2 linked regions of the Lonchura striata genome follow. The protein of the gene in region 2 interacts with the protein of the main gene of each other region in a pairwise test. Links are inferred from orthologs where the notes say so. Each region holds a gene or a part of one and is shown on either strand. Other genes may lie near its edges. The genes, in order: MBNL1 and DAB1.

Region 1 (11,366 bases), on a different chromosome or scaffold from region 2:
CGCACGGCCGGGCCCGCCTCCGCCGCCCCCGCCGCCGCCCGGCGCTGCCGGCCCCGAGCCCCGGCCGAGCCCCGAGCCCCGGCCCCGAGCCCCGGCCGAGCCCCGAGCCCCGGCCGAGCCCCGGCCCCGAGCCCCGGCCGAGCCCCGGCCGAGCCCCGAGCCCCGAGCCCCGGCCCCGCGCTGCCGAGCGCCCCGCGGCCGCGGGCTCCGGGCCCCGGCGGGGACCCTGCCCGAGGGCCGCGCCCCGGCCCCGGCGCAGCCCGGCGCCTGTCCCGGCCCGCCGAGCCCCCCTTCCCCGGGAGCCGCCCCGGCCCCGGCGCAGCCCGGCGCCTGTCCCGGCCCGCCGAGCCCCCATTTCCCCGGGAGCCGCCCCGGCCCCGGCGCAGCCCGGCGCCTGTCCCGGCCCGCCGAGCCCCCATTTCCCCGGGAGCCGCCCCGGCCCCGGCGCAGCCCGGCGCCTGTCCCGGCCCGCCGAGCCCCCCTTCCCCGGGAGCCGCCCCGGAGCGCCGCCGCCGCGGCCCGCGGGCCGGGCCTCACGCCGCACTCACCCCGGGCCTGCCGGCGCGGCCGTGCCGGCCCGCCCGCCCGCTCAGCCGCTCATGCTGACGGCGCCGCCGGCGCGGCGGGCGGAGGCAGCGCGGCCCGGGCTCCCCGCGCCAGCCCCGCGCCCGCTTCCGCCGCCGCCCCCGCCCCGCCCGGAAGCGCCGCCCGGCCCCGGCCCCGCCGGCAGCCCCGGGCCCGCGGGGAGCCCGGCCCGGCCCGGCCCGGCCCCGGCCGGCCGCGCTCACCTGCTCCCGGGGCGGCCTCCGCGCTCCGGGCACCGCGGGAGCGAGGGGCAGGCGCGGAGCGGGGCGGCGGCGCGGCGGGCTGCCCTCCCCCGGGGCCGCCCTCCCTCATCCTCCCCGCGGCGGAGCGGCCGGCGCCTCATGAGTCACCGAGCCGGGCCCGCACACGTGCCCGGCCCCGCCGCCCGCGGCCGGGGAGGCGCGGCAGGGGCGGCGCTGCCCGGCCCGGCCGCGCAGCGCCCAGCGCGGCGGCTCCAGAGCCCCAGGGCCGTCCCGGGGAGCACGGTCCCCCAGAGCCCCAGGGCCGTCCCGGGGAGCACGGTCCCCCGAGGACCCGCTCCCAAAGCGGGCGGCAGGATCCTGCTCTCCTCCTCTGAGCCGCAGCAGCCGTTGCAGAGCGGCTGGTTCTGCCGGCTGCCGCGGGGGCTGGCACGGCTCCCCCGGCACCCACCAGCAGCGGCTGCACCGCTCCGGCCCTCCAGAGACGCAGCCCCACCGCCCGGGCGACTGCTCGGCTCTGGCCCTGTCACAGGGCAGGTGTCGGTCCGGCCGTGTGGCTGACACCGACGGCAGAGTGCACAAAGATTAGCCAGAGGTGTACCAAAGTGTCCCCTGCCACGACACGCACACGGGGTCATGTGCAAAGGGCTCATCAGACCACCGTGGTGCTAACCACAGTTTAGGAAAGACAAACTGAAAAGAGACAAGGAAAGAGACAGGGAGTTTATCTCCAGTGTCACGTACTGTTAAACGTCTTTTAACACAGATACCTAAGCAGAGGGTTGTTTTGTGAGATGAAGTAATGACAAATAATTCCTCACTTGACTTTGGGAGACAGATTTTGTTAGCTGGTCTCTAGATCTAACTCCAGCTGCTTCCTTCATAAGGCTTTTTGTTCTGTTACAAGCCTGGAGGGGATATAATTAACTTTGCTTTTCTTGTGCTCTAATCGCCCCTGCAGCGGAGCAGGCAGCACTTTGGAAACAGAATGGATTTAGTGAGCATCCCTCCTCAGAGCTGCCCAGCCTGGGCAGCATCCAGGTGTGCCACATGCCCGAGGGAGTGCCGGCACCTCAGTGGCTGGGAGAGCTTTCTGATACCTGCTGGTTAACTCTGATGGCTTTTTGCTAGAAACGGGAGGCTGAAAGGACAAAGAAGCATTCCATTTTCTTTCAGAAAAATGTCATGTTCTTACACTTTTGTTTCAATGAAGTTTAATCCAGAGCAGAACAAAACTCATGACAACTGGTATCCCATTGTATTTTCTATTTGCCTGCCTCGCTGTGGTGCAGCGCAGATGTCCCCCAGCCAGAGCAGCCCTGGCTGCACAGCCCCGATGGGCCCTGGGAGTGAACATTGTACTGGGCCACTTGTGCTCTTCCTGTTCCCGCTCAAGCACAAAGAGCTCCCGGGGCCATTTCCTCCCTGAGAACCGACATCACCACTCTGGGCGTTTTCAAAGCACTTCTGGTCACAAAGTTTCTGTACAAACTCCTCCCTGCCCAAATTCTTCTTAAATAATGGCGTGGAACAGTGTCTTGGCACTGGGAGACTGGAGCTGTGTCCTGGGCACAGTGATGGCATTTCTCACAGTATCCTGGAAAGTGAATGCATTCCATTCACACTGCTTTATGCAGGTTACAGCAGATCAAACCCTGAGGCATGGACGTCGGGCACAAGCTCATAGCAGAATGTCCAGGCACGGCAGGGTAAAGAGGAAACCGTAAGGAAATTTCAGATGCAGGGGTCTCCCAGGTCATCATCCAATGCCAACAGCAACCACCACCTGGGATTCCAACAGACTAATTGTCTTACAGCAAAGATAAAGAAATGTGTCATAGCACACTGCATCGTGCGCCGCTCAGCCCTGAAGACATAAATCGGTACTTGAGGACAAAGAGAAACACTGTATGCTAAGAAAGTTTTTTGAGGGATACTTTGTGTTTTACAGTCCCTGTGAGCTATTGCACGTGGAGCAGGAAGAGGAGCTCTCCTGGCTGAGTCAGGGCAGCCCTGGCGCTGTTGAGGGGAGAGGCTGACCAGTGGAAACGGTGCCAAGGTGCCTGCCCTTCCCTCTGAGCCCAGCAGGCAGCAGGGCCAGTGGTCACCCGGAGCATGGACACCAGTGTGTCCCAGAGCCTGACACGAGGGTGCCTGTGGGCATCCTCATCCCGGCTGCGCCTCGAGCAGAACAAAAACACTTCCTCGCTGCCGGGCTCCCACCTGTTAGGAGCATGGGGGGCTCCGTACCCGGCCTCACACACAGACAGAAACCACCTGAGCTCCAAGTGTGTCTTCATTTTATCTCACCAAATAGCTGCAATACAGCAGTCACTAAATCAACCTATACTCTGATTTTCCTTCTCTCCTTGAACCTTCATTAAAGACAGACACACGAGTTGCTTCAAACCCGAACTGAATATGACTGCAACCCTGGAGAAGCCGTTTGCTTCCTGATGCCCTTATTTGTGCAACACTGGTGAAGCTCAAGTTCCCCAAAAAGGTCTGACACAAGCTCCAGTGCGGCTGCCACGGAAGGCCCTGCTGCCTCCCTGCTCTTCCGGAGCCCGCTCCCGCGGCTGCTGCACGGCGCACGCAGCCACCGCTTCCCGCCAGGCCAGAGCACATTTGTTTCTGGTTTAATGATCTCATCTGCATGTGCATTTCTGTAAATATAGCACACAAATTTATGACTTGGCCCTTACACTGTTTTGTCCTTTTATTTTAAAGCCTCCTGCAACTACTGTGTGATAGCATTCTTGTTGAAAGCAATAAGATACTTAGAATCTCTCCTAGTCTACAAGCACATAAATGAGAAAAATCCACAGCGCAATTCCTAGCAAATAATTGTGACAGACGTTATAGCTTCTGCCTTTTCTGCAAAGGCAATTTCTTTCCTTCTCTGCAGCTCATGCTGGAGCCCCTCCAGCAGCACCTGGTCACAGCCCCAGCCCCACGGGAGCAGTGTGGGTGCTCAGCCCCACGGCTGCTGCATGCGATCCAACGTGGTGTTTAGTCACGGAAAACTGGCGGGACGTTCGCCAGCAGTAGCAGATTTCACGGTAGGAAGCTGAGGGTTGCTCTCAGAGGATTAATGTCATTTCAATCTCCCATGCACTTAACCAACAGCCCCCTAGAGTGCCGGAGAGGGGCTGAGCAGCAACGCGCCCGGGATGGACACCCACCTGCCTCGCCCAGGGCCGGCAGGACCCTGCGGAGGAGCAGCACTCGGCCCCACAGGGAAATGCACCCAAAGTGGTGCAGGGCTGGCAGGACCCTGCAGAGGAGCAGCACTCGGCCCCACAGGGAAATGCACCCAAAGTGGTGCAGGGCTGGCAGGACCCTGCAGAGGAGCAGCACTCGGCCCCACAGGGAAATGCACCCAAAGTGGTGCAGGGCCGGCAGGACCCTGCGGAGGAGCAGCACTCGGCCCCACGGGGAAATGCACCCAAAGTGGTGCAGGGCCGGCAGGACCCTGCGGAGGAGCAGCACTCGGCCCCACGGGGAAATGCACCCAAAGTGGTGCAGGGCTGGCAGGACCCTGCGGAGGAGCAGCACTCGGCCCCACGGGGAAGTGCACCCAAAGTGGTGCACAGCATGGCGGGGGTGCCTCACCAGCCCTGTGTCCGCTCTACTGCCAGAACACAGCAGATGTTAAACCAGCTCACAGGGCTCTTGTAAGCATGCAAAAACCTCTCTAGCTTTTCCAGCGCAGTAAGCACCACAGGTGATGAACGGATAAAACGGTGGTAAAAGCAGAAGAAAGAGAAGTTGCACACACCGGCGCCATGGCAGTGGCTCCCGCGCCGTGTTTGTTCCACGTGTCCCTGGGACCAGGCTGCTGCCACTCAGGGTGCAGCTCCACACCACAGGGGTCCCAGTGGACCCCCAGCACGCAGCACAGCGGGTCTATGATGGGCCTGACTGCAACTTTTAATGCTCTTCAGAACCACAAAGTTTTGTTACTCATGCCCTGCATAAAACCATCTTGCATTTAGTGTTAATTTCTCTACTAAATTATTGAAGTCTTCACTAACTCAAGATAGCGAGGCACGTACGCGAAAGCGCAATGAAAGACGGCAATGAAACCGTCCAGCTTTGTGAACGACTCACCGTCCATCACGACAGCCGCGCTCTCCTGCTGCGCTCGGCGGGCCCCGCGCTGGGGCCAGTGCCTCCGTCCCACCCGGGGCTCCTGCGCGGCGCACGGGGCGCCGGCAGCGCTGCTGGCACAGCCGCCGCCCCGGTGCCGCGGGGCCAATGACAGCCTGCTGCTCTCTGCGACCGCAGCACGCCGGCCCGGCCGGGGGAAGCGGGGACAGCCCAGAGAGTGACACTTACCGAACCTATGGGGCCGAGGCAGCGAAGCGAGCCCTTCGTGCAGCGCTAACCACGGCCACGGGCTGGGCTTTGCACATCTATTTTCTTAAGGAAGCAAAAATTACTTTCTGCTAGTAAAAAAGGACACGCCAGAGGAAGTGCTTTGCATGGCGCTGCAGCCCGGCTCGCTGCCGGGGAGCTCGTGGCAGGGACACGGACACGCGGCTTGCAGCACTGGCAGACGTCTCCCTGCGAGCCATTAATCTGCCCGCTGGCAGCTGCTGGGGAAACGGGCTCGGGCCGCTGACATGGGCCATGGCCCGCGCTCCCTGCCTGGAAATGGGGCAATGCTGGGGCGGTGGCCCCGACTCCTTCCTGCTGCAAGCCGCAGATAACGGCTGCCTGGCCAGCGCCGGCACCCGCAGCGTGGCTGGCCTCGCCTGCCAGGCACTTTCGGGCCCACTTTTGCTATTTCTGCTGGGGTTACCACCAACTCCAGGCTTCCAAAGCCAGCAGCCCTTCCACCCAAAGCTCTCAGAGCCAGCTGGAAATTCCCCTCGCTCAGCCCGGGGGGAAAACGCCATGGTGTCCTATCCTCACTGGCCGTGCCAGCTTTGGTAAACCCGTGCAGTGGCTCCTGCCCGGCAGCGGGCATGGTGGGCACGGCCCAGGGCAAGGGCTCTGTGGGCCGTGCTGCAGGGGAAAGGCCGCGTGGCTGCCCTCGGCTGTGCCAGCTGTGCCCCGCAGCCGGAGCAGGAGGCTCGTACCCACTGCCCCCGTGCCGGGAGCGGAGCCACCTCCCCGGGACCCGGCCCTGCAGCGCCCGAGCTCGGGGCGTGCTGCAGGCGTGCTTGGAGGTGCAGCACGCAGCTGAGCAGCCTGGAAGTGCTGCTGCGGGACGCTGCAGCCAGCACGGCCATGCACAGGATTTCCTGTTGTTTCTTTCCGCTCCTGCACCGGTGTGTCCCCCTCTGCTCCTGCCCTGCAGCAGAGCGCTGCTGGATTCACCATCCCACCCCACGGGGTGTTGCAGGAGTGGGGGGAACAGCTTTCCACGAGTCCCTGAGCCTGGCTCGTGGCAGGTACCAGCCAGCCCCGGCCTGGCACAGCCCCAGCTTGGCCGCAGCACCAGCAGCGGAGTGGGGGAGCACGTCTCTGTGTCTGCACGCTTCCTCACTGAGCCTGCTCCAAGAACTGCCCTGTGGTGAGACAGACAAGTCCCGAGTCCTGATTTCAATCGCTAATAAATAATAAAATAAATTACAATAGTCACCTGAGAATTATCTTTCCTATTACAGAATTTTGTGTGTTTTGGCGGGGATAGGGATCTCTTCCCATCCTGAAGCCTTTTTCCAAGCAGAGTACAGGCACTGCAGCCATCCCAGGTTTCCTCCAGCCTTGCAAACACTCAAATCTATCTTCCTGTCTCTTCAGGAAACCTTCTCTAGAATTCCTAGCGGTTCTGTACCTCGGTCAGAGTAAAACCCCCGATAAGGGTGAAAGGTACCCAGAAATTTCACCCAGAGAGATACAACAGATAAAATTTCCCATGGGTGTCAGCTATCTGTGCAGAAACCCAACATCCTCAAGGCCTCCATCAGAAAAGAGGCCGCCATGGAGAGGGGCCCAGGTCTAGTGTGAAAATCTCGGCTGCAATGACAGATTTTCTCCTTTCTCTTGGTACAGCTGTGGGACTGCCAGGCACAGTGAGCTAGCAAACAGCCCCGCTTCATCTGACGTGATTGCCCGGGCTGCAAACAGAGAGCAGAGCCCACCCGCCTTCCCTGTGCTGGCAGACATGCAGCACGGGGACTCTTCATGCTCTGATGAGTAACACTGCTCACCAAATACTCACTACAGACACACATTGTCACTCAGGCCATGGTGTGCTTTGTGGCGCTGGTTCTGAATTGAGCTGAAATGTGTCGTCGACCTCAGACTGCACAGGGTGAGCAGTCGTGGTGAGACAGATGACAACACTGCCCAGCTTTTTGCCTTTTTTTTTGTTATTATTCCTGAAGAGTCCAAAGCCTGAAGGTTTTCTTAGGCTGCAATTATTAAAATAATGAGTTCCTTCAGAAAGCCAGCGAGACCAGCCCATGTCACGATGCTGCTGAAGGGGTTTCTGTTCCCAACATTTCAGGAGCTTTAATTCTTTCTCACTAAAGCTGACTGTGTCTGACCAATCACCCCACTCCATCCTTATTATTTTTCCAAATTTTGGTCACTTCTTTGTTTTGAAAAATAATGACTGTAAAGTTTTTAGGGGCAGGAGCATTTTGTTTTGTTTGCAAAGAATAAGAAGTCTCTGGTTAATCTGTAAAAGATTATCTGAATCAGAGGAAATGTGGGAAACATATGGACAATCTCATCTCTCCCTCATTAGGAGATAAAGTGTCCTTGCTCCTCATTTCCATCCCAGCATTGGAGATAACAGCTTTGCCTTCCTGCTGGATATCGTGTCAAACAGATCCAGATTGGAAACAAAGGTCCCTTCCTTGATACAGGAACCAGGAGCAGGATCCCCATGTTTTTATATTAAACCCCAGAAATAATAATAACCTGACCCTTTTGTACCTTGTGTTGTTTAGGCAGCTTCTGTATTTTCCAGGAGGAATTGTGTCACCAAGGCAGACCTGCCATGGGCACACTGGCCTGGCTGGCACTGGGCAGGAGTGGGAGCATCTCAACATCCCTGAGTTCCATCCCAGAAAGGATTGTTTGAGTCCAGCCATAAAGGAGGACAAGGTTGGCTCAAAAAATAAAACACATAAGTCCCAAAAGTTAAATTCATATGTAAAGGCAAAGTGCACCAGGTGTAGCAACAGACACTTATTTGCTTTGTTTGGCATTTTTTCCCTTTCAAAAGGTAGATCCCAAACAAGTGATGCTACTAAAGGCATCCCTCCTGTATTCTTTACCTTTTTAAATCTTTTTCACTAAACGTATCCAGGTATAAAATAAAAGATAGTTTTAAGAAGTTTGCAGATTTTCAGGCCTAGGACTCTATTTAATTTTCTTTTTCAATGCTGCTTGCTATCATCCCAGTGGCTGGCAGAGAGCCAGTGGAACTCCCCTCCTTCCCTGCCTTTCACAGCCTCCCTGGGCTTCCAGAGCAATGGCACATTCCTGCTCGCACCGATGCAGCCAAATTAAATATTAGCTCCTGGAAATGTTCCTCGTTTCTCTCACATATCATCTGGGTGAGGCTCCCTGGGCTGAGGCTCGCCGGTAGCGCGGTGCCCGGGATGCTGAGGCACATTTGGGGTGCTGCCCGCAGCTCTCCCAGGGCAGAGCGCTCCCAGCCAGAGCCAGGGGTGCAGGTGGGGCTGGACCCGCATCTCCTGCCACCCTCAGCACACGGGCAGCATCTCCAAACCTCCTCTACAACCAGGACTTCGGGCACCTGGAACCCATCTCCAAACCTACCATTTCCAATCTGAGCTGCCCAGCCGTGGGGGCACCGCCTGTCCCCTAAATGACAGAGGCATCAACACTTCGCAGCCACATTTACAAACAAAGAAATTCTTCAGGGAAAAAACACAGACAACTACTTACTAGTTACTCTCACTATTTAACACAAAGCAGGGCTGCTGCTGAGCAGGAAAAGCTGCTCTGGTGAAAGATGTGGAGTTTTACCAAAGTATCCCTTTTTCTTCCAGAGGATTTGTGCATCTGTGACCCAAACCAGCCATGTTTAAAAGTATTCTGGTGGGAAACTGCCAAGGGGCACAAGTGGAAACTCAAGGTGAGTCTGCCTTCACAAAGAACACAGCAATTCCTAGCATGGAGACATTTCCAAAGGGCAGCAATAATGCACAGCCTTTCATACAGCCCCACGCTACATAACCCAGCCGTGCTCCAGCATGGCCACAGACCGGCAGGCAGTGACAGGGAGCAACAGTCCCCTCCTGCCAAGGAAGGACATGAAAATTACATTTCAAAGTCTGGTTTCATTTCTATGGGACCTTGGAGGGTTGTTGCTACTTGGCCGATGCCTCCACTGCAATATTATGGTATAAGGAGCGAGGCAGACGTGGCTTAGCGACGCCCATATTTTTAGCCAAATAACAGGGATGCTCTGTTTCCCCGTGTTTTAGCAGCACTGGCCCCAGCAGTGCCCAGCACCAGCCCCACACCCTTTGCCAGCAGCCTGTGCGTACCTGCACGCCGGTGTGAGTGTCACAGCCCTTGCACCGGCCCGGCACGGCCGAGCCCGCTCCCCTCGCGACCTGGGCTCACGGGCACAAGCGGCCGCATCGCTCCGCCGGAGCGGCTTCTGCTGCGCGGCGGGCAGCGCTGCCCGAGCTCCGCGGGGCCGGCCGTGCCGGGCCGGGCCGGGCCGGGCCGTGCCAGAGCGGGCAGCGCTGCCCGAGCTCCGCGGAGCCGGCCGTGCCGGGCCGTGCCGGGCTGGGCCGTGCCAGAGCGGGCAGCGCTGCCCGAGCTCCGCGGGGCCGGCCGTGCCGTGCCGGGCCGGGCCGTGCCAGAGCGGGCAGCGCTGCCCGAGCTCCGCGGGGCCGGCCGTGCCGGGCCGGGCCGTGCCAGAGCGGGCAGCGCTGCCCGAGCTCCGCGGGGCCGGCCGTGCCGGGCCGGGCCGTGCCAGAGCGGGCAGCGCTGCCCGAGCTCCGCGGGGCGGCCGGCGGGAGAGCTGCGGCCGGGGCAGTGCTGGGCTGGGCAGTGCCGGGCCGAGCTGGGCAGTGCCGTGCCGGAGCAGTGCCGCGCCGGGCAGTGCCGGGCTGGGGCAGCAGGGCCGAGCACGGCCAGCGGCTCCGGCACCTGCCGGGACACGGTGTCGCCGGCCCGCCCGCAGACAGCCGGGTGCCGGGAGCGCCCAGCCGGGAGCCGCGGCACCCAGCGTGTCCCCGCCGGGCCCCGGTGCCCGGCACGGTGGCGGCAGCGGAGGGCATCCCTGCACTGCCGGCACGGGGCTCCGCAGCTGCGGCACGGGGCTCGGCCCCGAGCGCTCAGACCGAGCGGTCCCGGCGAGCGGGGTCCGGCCGCTGCCGCTGCTGCTGGGGCCGGGCTGGGCAGCGGGACAGGACCTGCCCTGGCCCGGGGCAGGGAGGGGCACAGCCCGGCCAGAGCCGGGTAGCACACCGCAGCTCTGGCACTCCCCTGGCCCGGGTCAGGACCGGGTAGCACACCGCAGCTCTGGGGCTCCCCTGGGGCTCCCCTGGCCCGGGTCAGGACCGGGTAGCACACCGCAGCTCCGGGGATCCCCTGGCCCGGGTCAGGACCGGGTAGCACACCGCAGCTCTGGGAATCCCCTGGCCCGGGTCAGGACCGGGTAGCACACCGCAGCTCTGGGGATCGCCTGGCCCGGCACACATTTTCCCAGCCTGAGGAATGAACCAACACAGATGAAGTATTTTGGGGACGGCATTGGGTTCACAGCATACAAGAGGCCACATTACTTCACTGGAGCAACTTCTGTGGCTGACAGCCCTCACCTGGATCCACTAGCCCCATCCTGTCAGGTCCAAAGCAAAATAATCCAAATAGAAATATGGGAAGATGACAGGAGTGCTGTTTCTGTCTTGCTCTCATCAAGGCCGAGTCAAACAAGATAATTTCAGGGTTTTCTTCTGTAATCACACGTTGCTCAAGAGCTGCCAACAGGATAATGGGCCCCAGTTAACCAGAGCATGGCGACAAGCACAGACCCCACAGAGGACAGAGAACACACCACCCACTGCACTCTGACACCCCAAGAACTTCCATGATCTGCTTTTCTGTGCCAGCTGTTCATAGAGCATCAGTCCCCTCTGTCAGTGTCCAGGTTCCTGGCCCTAATCCATGGGGCTCAGCCCTTCCACAGCTTGCCATGCCATAGAAAACCAGAGCAATGCTTGCCCAGTACAGACCAGTTGGTGCAGGGGGCATACTGGGGTGGAGGGTGACACCCCCAGAGCTGGGGTTAATGATCAGCTCATTTTGTAAACACCAGCTGGTTTCCCTAACTCAATATTTAGAGTTGTACTCTTTCTAATTAAGTAGTGACTATAGCTACATGTCATAAAAATCAGACTGAAAGTCCTAATCATTAGGTCATATTTTAATTGGGTTTTTTAGTGAAAAGGGCATCCTTTGTCTCTTGTGCTTTTGAAAAGTATATAAAGGAAAAATATGAAAGACACTATTACAGAAGGAGAGAAAAATGAATAAGAAGTGTCACATCCAGACAGTGAGTCCATTCAACAGATTTACAGTCTGCATGTTACAGGCATGAAGCACAAACTTGCTTTAAAATAAAATTTAAGG
Region 2 (11,276 bases):
AACTGGCAGTGACAGCAGAGCCTGGGATCAGCTTCAGCCAGCAATGGCTCTTTTTTCTCCTGTTTCCCTGGGTAACCTCCTCAATCACTTAGGATGCACCATGGTATGTCACCTTCCGCTCCTGGCTCGCTCCTTCTGATGTTTCAAGCACCCTCAATGCTCTTAATTTCCTTAAGTGTTAAGGAAAGTAATACCTGGTATCTGTAAGGTAGTGCTTGATGGGATAAAGTACTTTGATAAGCCCTTAATTATAAGGATTCTTGTAATTTGTTGACTTCCCTTCTCAGCAACAGTGAGATGTTTCTACCACGAGGCCTTCTCAGCGTTGTCATTTGACATAATTCTGCTGATTTCATTAACTGTCACTGTTTTTTTTTTTTTTTTTTTTTTTGCAAGTCGATCACAATGATTGATTGATTAGGAAAATAGGTTTTATCATCCTTAGTCTCCAAATTGAATAGTTGTAGCAGTTGGATTAGGTTAATCCTGGCAGTATCCTCCTTTGGCTGATTTCCACTGCTGAACGGAGCCGCCCCTCCTGTCCCCCTCTGCTCCCCTGTGAATTAGGGGATTAAGAGAAGAGGTGCTTAAGCTTAGCCCTTGATTGACACATGGTTATGCAAATTGTGAAGGAAACCCTGAGATTCCTGCAATCTAGCTGGAATATTGGAGATGTCTTCAACGTGCGAGTGTAACAGAACCAGCAACACCCAGTGAAAGCAAGGCCCACTTACAGGGAATTCATGATCTTGAACCCATTTTCAACTCCTGAAATCTTTGTAACCTTGAGATCCGTGTGCCCCCTGAGCAGCTGGAGGGGAAGGAGTGTGTTTTGAACAGGCAGGAGGCAGTAACTCGTGTGATGTCTCAGAATGTTAGATAAACCCTCTCATTTCCACACAGACATGGAGGTGAAAGACAGAACAAAATGGCTCTGTCGTCTGCCATGGGCTGCAAGGGAGACTCAGTGTGTGTGATTAAATAATGAATAAAATAGCCTTGCAAATGATAATGTTATATTGTAAATAATTCCATTTGTTTACCCTACTGTGGCATTGAAGTTCATCTCCCTTGGAGACTTCTCTGACTTTTGATGCTGTTTTGCTTTGCATATGCTTGATTCTTTTTTATTTTTTTTTCTTGCTTTCCACAAAATCTTCATAAAGGTTCGGGAACTGACAGGGCTAAGTGAATAATTCACAGCAAACAAAATTTTGGATGAATTTAGCATCTTTATTTCTGTAACAAATAGCCCTACACACATTCTGCATGTTTTGCACTAATTTATTGCTAAATCAGTTTTAAGTATGACTTCCACTCAAACCACCATCAATCCTTCTATTTTTATGAAAGAGGATATAAACTGTACTCTGGAAATAGCTGGGTTTAGAAATGAGTTTATTTGTGACTGGAAAAATATGTATTGCTTTTGTTTCCTGCATGAATGGCTACAGAATTGCTATTGGTACAAATATGTCCAAACATAATATTTGGCAATGTGAATCTCAATTTTTAAGTTATTTTTAAAATTCATATTTAAACTACTCAAGTTTGATCTCTCAAATGCTTTAGAAAGGAAACACAAAGCAATCAAAAGACATCTATGTTTTCCTCTAGAGAAATCATATGGAGGAATATATTTTAAAGAAGAAATAGTGCAATTACTATTAGTATAATTAACTTGACTTCTACCTTGGAGGGCAGTATTATTTTTTTTGGTGGTGACTGCTGCATAAAAATACAAAATTATTCTTTCAGTGGATGAAGGGTGTGGGCATGTATATTGTGGTTGTATAGCCAGATTAATGTTTATACCTAAATATTAATTCGAAGATTGGAATCAAATGCATGTAATGGATGTTCAGTGATGCAATGCATTTTAGTGTGAAGCATGTCAGAAATCCCTTTTAACTTCCTGTAGGTATCTGTGTATATATCTGTGTGAATCTGAAAGATGTAAAGTCAGGTCAAAGTATCTGATCTGCCTCCAGACTGTGCCACTGGTCTGTCAGCAACTGCTTCACTTCCACTGTCTGACAAAAACTGGGGTAATGACACCTGAATGAAGTTCCATGAGATCCATGGGTGGGAAGTGCTGAAATGAAAACATTGCAGTATAAAATTCAGACATTTATCTCTGCATAGAGACTCATGGTATTCCTGGGCATGTATTTGATCAAGTATCTCTGTCATTACTAAAACAGAGACCTGAGGTTTCTGTTTTGGGTTTTTTGGGGGTTTTTTTAGGCGCCACCAGAAGATGCATATCCTACCTGAGAAAGCCAGGAGTTTCCTAAAGTCATAAAAAAGAAGGAAAAAAAGTCCCCAAGCAGAGATGAAGGATGATGACAAGACAAATCAAACATCTCTTTTGGACAGAGATAAAAGCTTGTGAGATGTTTGCATTGATCCTCACCTGGAGGTTCTGTGTTTGGAAGTTTTGAAGGTTTGGGGGAGAACTGAGGTACACCAGTGAAGGTGGGTTTGGTTTCCTCATAGGAATTTTGGGTTGAGTAGATGCTAGGACCTGAGCTGCTCTCAGAGACATCTGATGGGGCTTTGAGCAACCTGACCTAGGGAGAATGAGGACATCTACACAACAGGGAGTGGAATGAGGACATCTCCAAGGTCCCTTCCAAGCCAAACCATTCTGGGGCTCTGTGATTCTGTGTACTTCCTGCAGCTCAGATGCTTTTGGAATTCCTGGCTCTGGAGCCCTTCTCATGGCATAGCAGGTGGTATTTTGTTTCCAAGCCCAGAAGGATGAGACTTGTGTAATTTGCTCTGCTTTGAGTACACAAGCTGAAGCCTCCACACTCACAGAGACCTCGGTATCAACGCCAAGATGTGGAGGTAGTTGTTTTTTGTTCGTGCTCCATTCCTATATGAAACTTTTTGAGTAACAATTAAAGGAGGGCTCTGAGATAAGCTGAATAATGGTGAAACAAAGGTACCTGCAGTGTGCTGCCTGCTCCCCTGTTGTCTTAGAGCAGCGTCTGCTGTAACTGCTGGGTACTGTGGCAGGGAAATCTCCTCCTCATTTCCATTTCAAACTCTGCCTGCTCTGAGATGAGGATAATCAGTCCCTCACTGCAGTTGTGCACTGCAGCATCTTCCCCTCCTGCTCCCTCTCCCGAGGCTCGCTCCTTTGCTGGCCCAGCTGTTTGTGGCTCTCTGCTTCCCAGCTGACTCCGAGGCACTGGAGCTCTGTGGGAGCTCTCCAGCGTGCTCCCATTCACGGGCACTTATGTGGCTTTTCTGCTCACACATCTGCGCTTAAGGAATGGAAATTCATGTCACTTGCATAGAGATTTCTTTCCGTGATCTTTTGCAAGCATTTCCCCCCCATACTGTATCTCTTTGTTTGGATGGGATTGCAGAGGAGGATTTGTACATCCATGCTCTTGGTGCATCATTAATGCTCTTTCTAGGAGAGCTGAGAGCATTCCCAAAGCCCAGGGAGCCAGTCGTACCAACAGCAAGCTCTTCAACCCAACTGGTTGTCCTGTCTAATCTTTGGCAAGTACTTTTGCTAAAAGCAGGGAGGAATCTATACTGGAGTTGGAACTAAACCCTCATCTCTCACATCCCACTCGGCATCAGGATCACAAACCCACAACTGAGGCTTTATTCATTGTTAAGTGAACCTGGCAGATCTTCTACCAAACTCTGCTCTCCAAAATCAGACAAGAAGACATCATGAGGGAAACTATTGGGGTCTAGAAATCAGAGACACCATAACTTAACACCAGAAAGATGCAGGACCTGAGGTTTGACAGGTATATTTGCAAGAGTTGTATCCCTCACATGGATGTGATGGGTAGGAACAGACTGGGCTGGCAGACTGCAGGTTCAGTGCTGTTTAAGAGGTCTGATTCCTCTTACCTTCCTCACCCAAACCCCAGGAAAGAAAGTGAATGGAAGAAACTCCGTGTTAGAAGGGCAGACAGGGAACATCTCAATCACATAATCAATAAGATATTTGACAGCTTTATTCATCTTTTATCACCCACAAGTTAAGGGTAACAAAATGTCTGAAGCAGCCATTACTAAACAGCTCCGGGTTTGGATGGAAGAAGCCCATTAAGCATAAAGAGCTGTTACTCCTGCAATAAATACGTGACACAGGAGAGCAGGTAAGAGATTGGGGCCAGAAAAAGTGGTTTAGTCAAATGTGTCAGGTCACAGTGACAAAAGGTTAACAGCCTGTCACATGGCACATGCCCACAGCCACCGAGTTTTGCAACTATTAACACCTCTCTCTGCCATGACGTACAATAACCAGAGATCCTTAAGGATCTTACATATGAAGGAATATGTAAAGCAGCTTAAGTCTCATTCTCTAGCTATTACAAGCTTGATCTCCTAGAATTAGACAGAAACTTTAATCGCTGTCTCACTGCTGTGCTTTGCGAGCTCACGCATGATTTTCTGCCTTGCCAGGGATTAATGTTGCTGTTTTGTGACATCCCACTGAAAGAATGGACAAGGAAGAGCAAGAAATGTATCTGTGCACAGACTGTAATTCTCCTTCCTGAGCACTGCCCAGCAGGCCAGGCACCTATTGACAGAGCCAGCTTAGGTCAGAGTTTGCCAGAGAAACACTTAACATCCATCTGTGAACAGCAAGGCAAGCAGGATCTACCGTGGCTGTAATACTCAGAAGTATTTCTGCCGTCAAGGGCAACGTTTTCGAGCATCAGGAACAGACACCTTGCTGCACAGAACCGAACCTCTTGTGGGACAGCCAGGCAGAATCCCAAGGAAGGGCAGGCAGCACGGGAAGAAGGGTGATAGCACATCCCACTGGGCCCGGAACGCCTTCACTGGATGCGAGGCGCCCAGCTCCGCTGCCCGGGCTGTGCCCAGGTGCTGCCCGTTGTCCCAGCGCGGCTGGGCAGGGAGGGCTCAGGTGTCCCGGCTCCCACACCGCGGTGCCGTGAGGGGGGAGCCGCGCCCGGGCCAGCCCGGGCTGGCAGGGCTCCCTCGGCCGCCTGCGGCAGGAGGGCCGGGCCGGGCCGGGCCGGGCAGGGCAGGGCAGGGCCGGGACAGGCAGGGCAGGGACAGGCAGGGCAGGGCAGGGCAGGGCAGGGCAGGGACAGGCAGGGCAGGGACAGGCCGGGCAGGGCAGGGCAGGGCAGGGCAGGGACGGGACAGGCAGGGCAGGGCAGGGCAGGGCAGGGCAGGGCCGGGCCGGGCCGGGCCGGGCAGGGCAGGGCCGGGCAGGGACAGGCAGGGCAGGGCAGGGCAGGGCAGGGCAGGGCAGGGCAGGGCAGGGCAGGGCAGGGACGGGACGGGACAGGCTGGGCAGGGCAGGGCAGGGCAGGGCAGGGACGGGCAGGGATAGGCAGGGCAGGGCAGGGCAGAGCAGGACAGGGACAGGCAGGGCAGGGACAGGCAGGGCAGGGACGGGACAGGCAGGGCAGGGACAGGCAGGGCAGGGCAGGGCAGGGACGGGCAGGGATAGGCAGGGCAGAGCAGGACAGGGACAGGCAGGGCAGGGACAGGCAGGGCAGGGACGGGCAGGACAGGGACAGGCAGGGCAGGGACAGGCAGGGCAGGGCAGGGCCGGGCAGGGCAGGGCCGGCAGCCGGGCGCTGCGGGCCCCGGGGGCTTCCAGCGGGAGGGCAGCGGGCCGGGAGCCGCGGCCCCTCGCAGGGGAGCCGGGCGAAGGACTCCGGGCCGGAGCCGCCGGAGGGGCTCCCCGCGGCCCGGGCGGGGCGGGGGGCTCCGCTGCCGCTGCCGCTGCCGGGGGATGCGGTAGCGCGGAGCTGCAGGGCACCGGCGCCGCCTCCGCCCGCGCAGGCTCCGCGCCAGCAGCGCCGCAGCCAGCGAGCCCCGGGCGCGCAGCCCGCCCGCCGCCGGAGGAGGAGGAGGAGGAGGAGGAGGAGGAGGAGGAGGATGAGGATGAGGATGAGCATCAGCGGGAGCGGCGCGGCTGCAGGTAGGAGGAGGCGCGGGGGGAGCCGCCCCATCGCCGCCGTGCGCGGAGCGGGTCCCGGCGCCCCGCGGAGCCCGGCGGAGTTAACGCAAAGTTTTTGCGGCGGGAGGGAGGCGCTGGCGCGGCGGAGCCGGCGAGGAGGCGGGGAGCGATGCTCGGGCGGCGCGGTGCCGCCCGCTCCGCCGGCCGGACGGGCGAGCGGGGATGCGAGCGGAGCGGGAGCCGCGCTTCGGGGCCGTGCGCGGGGATTTAACACTGCCACAGCCGGCCACGGGCAACTTCGAGCCCTAGCGAGCATCTCCGAGCCGTGCTGGGAATGAACGTGAGGCACCGCTTCCTTTCTATTTGTGTGTGTGTGTGTGTGTGTGTGAGAGAGACTCCCGAGCAGGGTTTTCTCGCCATCCACCTCTGCGTGCCAGCCGGGAAGGGGCAACTTGAACCAGCTGTCCCCTCTTGGGTTAATATTTACAGCCCGAATAAATATTTTGTTGCCCTTCTACCTTCTTCTCGACGCCTTCTTGTAGTCGAGATGATTAATCAGGGATGTTAGTGGCCAACTAGGCATAACCTTGTAGAAAAATAATTATGTGAGGATATATGGGGTTTGACTAGTGATGTGATACAGAATACACCCAGATCTCGGTAGTTGCTTCCCCATGTGTGCACGTTCAGTGTGTTTTTGATTTTGAATGGAAATATAAGTGTAATGATAAACATGTTACTTCCAGGGGAAGAATGTTATTTTCCTTGCCAGTGAAATATACAGCAGCTTCAAAGTAAAATGTGCATATCTGTGGATATAGAGAGGGGTTCTCTTTTCTGGTCAGTCACTAAAATGTTTTTCTCCCTTTTGAATGTGGTCTTTCTAGTGGTGCTGGTTGCTTTGCATGTTTGGTTTGCAGAATGAATTTCATTTCAGTGCCCTCGGAGTCTCGAGAGAAGAAGTGCACTGCTGTGTCTTCTGAGGCTGGTTGTTTTAACTGATCTTGTTAAATAATGCTATTATTAAATGATGGCAAATTGAAGCAAATGTGTTTTTCATTGCCCACAAGTTGTGTCTCTGAGCTAAATCTCTTTTTATGGCTGGAGAGGCTCTTGCACTGCAGTATTACAATACAGCCATATTAAAAAGGTCCTTGGAGCAAATAACCCTCTAATGCTGCAGCTATGTTTTCAGTAGACTTCAGTAGTTCTGTGGGAAGTGATTATGTTGGATTTAAGGAATCTGGGTAGAATTGCTTGTGCTTTTTTAATTGTGGTGTTAAACTGCCTGTAGACGTTGGTGTAAGTGGTAAATCTAGACCCAAAATCTAAAGAAGCAAAGCTCCAAACCCAAGGCTTTATTTGTGATGAATTTTTTTTTTTTTTTTTGCAACAGGTTTTTCTGTTTTTTTTTTCTTTTTTTTTTTTCCTTTTCCTTCCTTCCTTCTCCCTTCAGTTGGCAGAGAGGTCTCCAGCTTTAATGCCTTTCCTTGACCAAGCAGAGTGCAGTGGGAGATGATACCATCATTCTCCTCTTGTATGGTTTATTCTGTCTCTGGTGCTGCAAAGAATGAAGGCGAGTCAGACTAGAGATAAAAGGGAGAGAAGATGCCTGAGGTTGACGGTGTTGGCAAATTGATTGATTAAGGTTTGTTCTGAGGAACCCCACTAGATTTCAGGTGGTTTCTTTGGGATGTCCTGCTGAAAGCACAGGTCAGCATCTATCCTTCAGTGATTTCACACCAAATTCTCTGGTGTGTGCTTGGCAGGTGTGAAAAGCAGACATGGAACTAAGCTTCTAATGTCAATATTTGGTGCTAAAAGATTAATTTTGAGCAGAAGACAAACAGTTTGGTTACTTTTCTTTAACTACAGCTCTTCATTACTGGTTTTTGTTTGCTCTAGTAAACAAACCCATAGATCTTAAAATTGAATTAAGTGTATAAACTGCTTGAACCAGAGAGGGGAGACAGACTAATAAATAAAGAATTAAGCTATTGTGCCATTGACTGGCTGATTACAGCTTTGGCCTGATCACTCAAGCAGTGCTCCAAGCAAGCTCTCCATGCCCAGCACTGTTTTTTCTGGATTGGAGGATGGGAACGCTGGTGGTGACTGGGGGGTGATGTCTGCTTGACTGACAGACACTTATTGCAGAGTGGCACTCACTGCTCTGTAATTTTGCCTCTGTAATGATTTTCCCCAGAGAGCTGACAGAGAATTAAAACGTTTATGATCAGGTTTTTTGGAAGGGTTCCTCAAGATGCAGAGAGGAGGGCAGGGAAGTCCATCCATTTTTAGATCTTGCTAATCCCTTGTGTTGTTCCTGTAGTCATGCTAATTTTTATTGATTGTCATGGCAGTAGCTGTTTCAGAGCACAGAAGTGGAAATGTTTCACTTCATTCAGGGTAATCCTAAAAAGAAATCAAAGTGGGAAGGAAGGAGTGGCTGAAAGAGTTGTCTCACTCCAGTCTTTTCTTCAGGTTGTTCATGAAACAAAGGCAATAAACAGTTCGTGCACTTTTGAAATCCAATTTCTGTGAGAGGACTAAAGTTTCCATCCTGTGTTTGCTGTAAATGCAATATAATCTTGACACTACCTATCATAAGGATGCAAACCTCAAAGTTCTCCTGCTCAAGCCCATTTCTCCACTGGAGCAAAACCATGGGAACAGAGGAGTCTGTGGTGGAGGATGGATGTCATATCCCATGTGGATGTCAGCTGTGTGCAAAAGGAGCTGAGCTGGAGTCAAGGCTGGCACCCAGGCAGCAGATGACAGAAAAGTGTCATTGATTTCTGGTGACCAGCTCTAATCAAACTCATGTGTGTGCTGAGATCAGGAACACGCTCTGTGCTTCTTTAACCATCTGATGGTGACCTAAAAATCCCTCTGTGATCCATCTGTGCTCATCAGGTGAGCCTCAGCCAACACTGGTGCCTGGTATTCACCCTCTGAATTTCCTCACTCAGTTCCATACCCTTCCCTAGGCATGTTTGCTGCAGAAGCAGGATGCTGTTGGAGCTTTCCCATCCCCCTGTTCCATCCACACTTTGGCAAGGGAATTAAGCATGATGTTGCAGCCAGTCCAGTGTGGAGCTGACAAATAGTGACACCTCCTTCCAGGGAAAAAGGAGGAGGGTTAGGATATTCAGGAGAAAATCCCAGAATGGGTGTATTCCCCATGTTCCCCATTTTTCTGACTGCAGCCTCTCTACAATTGCTCTCTCGGATTTTTGAGGATGTCCTTCTGCGTCCAGAGCTCTAAAGAAGGACTAAGTGGTGTGTTTGTGGGTTTATGCTTAACCAGGGATGCAGGAGCAGGCTGGAAGGGAAAACAAGCCAATCTCAACTGCTGCTAAGAGCTCTTGGAAGTGGGAATGAGAAGTATTCTTTTGAGTAACATGGATAGCAGGTGGAAATGACCCTATACACAGTGTCTATAAAACAGTGTGTTGGATAAAATGATCCTATTACAGGAAGTGCAGAGGGCAAAAAACCTAAGCAGTCTTGACAATCATTTTGGGATTGTTCTGCAAGAAAATCAAAGGCTTGTCAGTTTTTGCTTTTATGCACATAAATCACCTTTGCTCCTCCTGTTTCATAAAATGCACTGGGTCAGGACTTTTCTTGCCTCTATACTGTTGTGAGTATTTACAGTAGAATACACGTAGCACACAAAAGGAGATTCATATTTCACAGCACTTTCATTTTTCATCAGTTTGCCAACTTAAAGAGCCTCCAACTTCCCTTTAAAATAGCATGAACATTTGCAAGCCAGTTAAAAGGAATGAGAAACATTCTGATATTCCTCTTCTATAACCACAGATTGATGCATTCAACAGCCAGCTCCTTTAATTCTTCCAACATTTAAACATGAGTGACTTAGTGCAAAAAAAAAAAAACACTATATGAATTTTTACTCCTGTTTTAATGTAGCAGAGCCCTATTGAAGTCAAAGCAAGTGCAGCTGGTTCCTTAAGCTGAGGATATGGCCCAAAAAAGGACTTTCCTAATTGGCAGGAGGCTGGTTTGGTATCATTCCTTGCAGGGCAATATTTTAGGAAAAAATAGAAGAAAAAAAATCTTACTAACATCAGAGGGATTTCTCATTTGTAAAGTTAAATGCTCCTCAGTGAGAGGTGAGGGGATTACTCCAGCTCAGAGAGTGTTTTCCCTGACTAATATATCCAAAATGTATGTTGGGATTGCCCAGCACTGATAATTCACACACCTCTGGAGTGGAATACAGCAGCCATTCCAGGCTGGAAACATTATGCAGGAGGGGTTTAGGGAAGAGAAATGAAGAAAAACTAATCCAATTGAAACTGCAAGGGGAATTTAGGAAGCAGAATGCAATTATCCGAGTTGGATATTGGCCAGGACGTGTTAGTTAACATTTTTACTCTTGTGGGAGTTTTCATGGGATCTTTAATGACGATGAATGGTCAAGGCTCTATTTTACATCTCATTTGAAATCCTGAGCTTTCACTTCTTCATGAGGATGAAGGAAGCTTTGCCTTCCTTCAAGTTGAGTTGCTTTAGTGAATCTGCTTTCCTCCCACAGGGTCAGGGCTCTCTGGGCACACCTGGCAATTCCACCTGGCCATGGGTTTTCTTCACCCTGAGCTGCTGAGTCAGAAGCAAATCCCAATACTCAGCATTGCACATCAAAGCCCAAATTCCAATTTAAGAGATCTTCATGTGGAGAATATTCCCTACAGTTCAACTGGCCATGGCATAGCATCACAGAATGGTTTGGGTTAAAAACCTTAAGTTTTTTGGCTTAAAAACATTAAAGATCAACTCATTCCAGCCTCCTGCCATGGGCATAATTCCCTCCTTCCCTAAGAACCAGACTGCCAGGTTTCTTCCCTGTTTTATGGGGACTAATGGATGATGGAATCATCTGTCAATAGTAAATGTGATAAATCTTATTGAAACCGGCATTCCAGGAGAAAGGAGTGGATGCATAAAATATTTTCTTCTCCATAATCACAATTTTCCATTTAGTTATCTGAACTTGAATCCTTTCTGAAGCAAACAAGCCAACAGGCACTTCTTCTCTATAAAAATTCAGTGTCTGGTTACAAATGTATATATTAGTGCTTTTTGGTATTCAGGCAAGGCAAACAGTAGGATGGCAGTTTGCTTCTCGGGGGGAGAAGGGGCTTCCTCTTCCTTTGGAGGTTCAGGGATGGCGTGTTTGGTGTGATTCAGTCAAATATTGTTCTGGGAACTCAGAGGATTGCTCTGTATCCATTGAATTACCTTTTAATCTGTTTATCAACATGCTTGCAGACTATCTTAGAGGTCATGAAGCAGTGGCAGATGCTGGGAGATAAAATTAGAT

What was found.
Region 1: the proteins of DAB1 (region 2) and MBNL1 interact in binary tests that used the Homo sapiens proteins (3 or more experiments, as listed by UniProt). The link is inferred for Lonchura striata from reciprocal best matches to the Homo sapiens genes DAB1 and MBNL1.

The regions. Positions count from the first base shown.
Region 1 is NC_134612.1:26,691,703-26,703,068, forward strand, and holds the start of MBNL1 (muscleblind-like protein 1), read right to left. Parts: upstream 4,917-11,366; 5' UTR 4,899-4,916; intron 884-4,898; exon of another isoform or gene 789-883; intron 625-788; exon of another isoform or gene 549-624; intron 1-548. UniProt on the Homo sapiens protein: Mediates pre-mRNA alternative splicing regulation. Acts either as activator or repressor of splicing on specific pre-mRNA targets. Inhibits cardiac troponin-T (TNNT2) pre-mRNA exon inclusion but induces insulin receptor (IR) pre-mRNA exon inclusion in muscle.
Region 2 is NC_134611.1:7,729,883-7,741,158, forward strand, and holds the start of DAB1 (disabled homolog 1), read left to right. Parts: upstream 1-6,062; 5' UTR 6,063-6,263; intron 6,264-11,276. UniProt on the Homo sapiens protein: Signaling adapter of the reelin-mediated signaling pathway, which regulates the migration and differentiation of postmitotic neurons during brain development.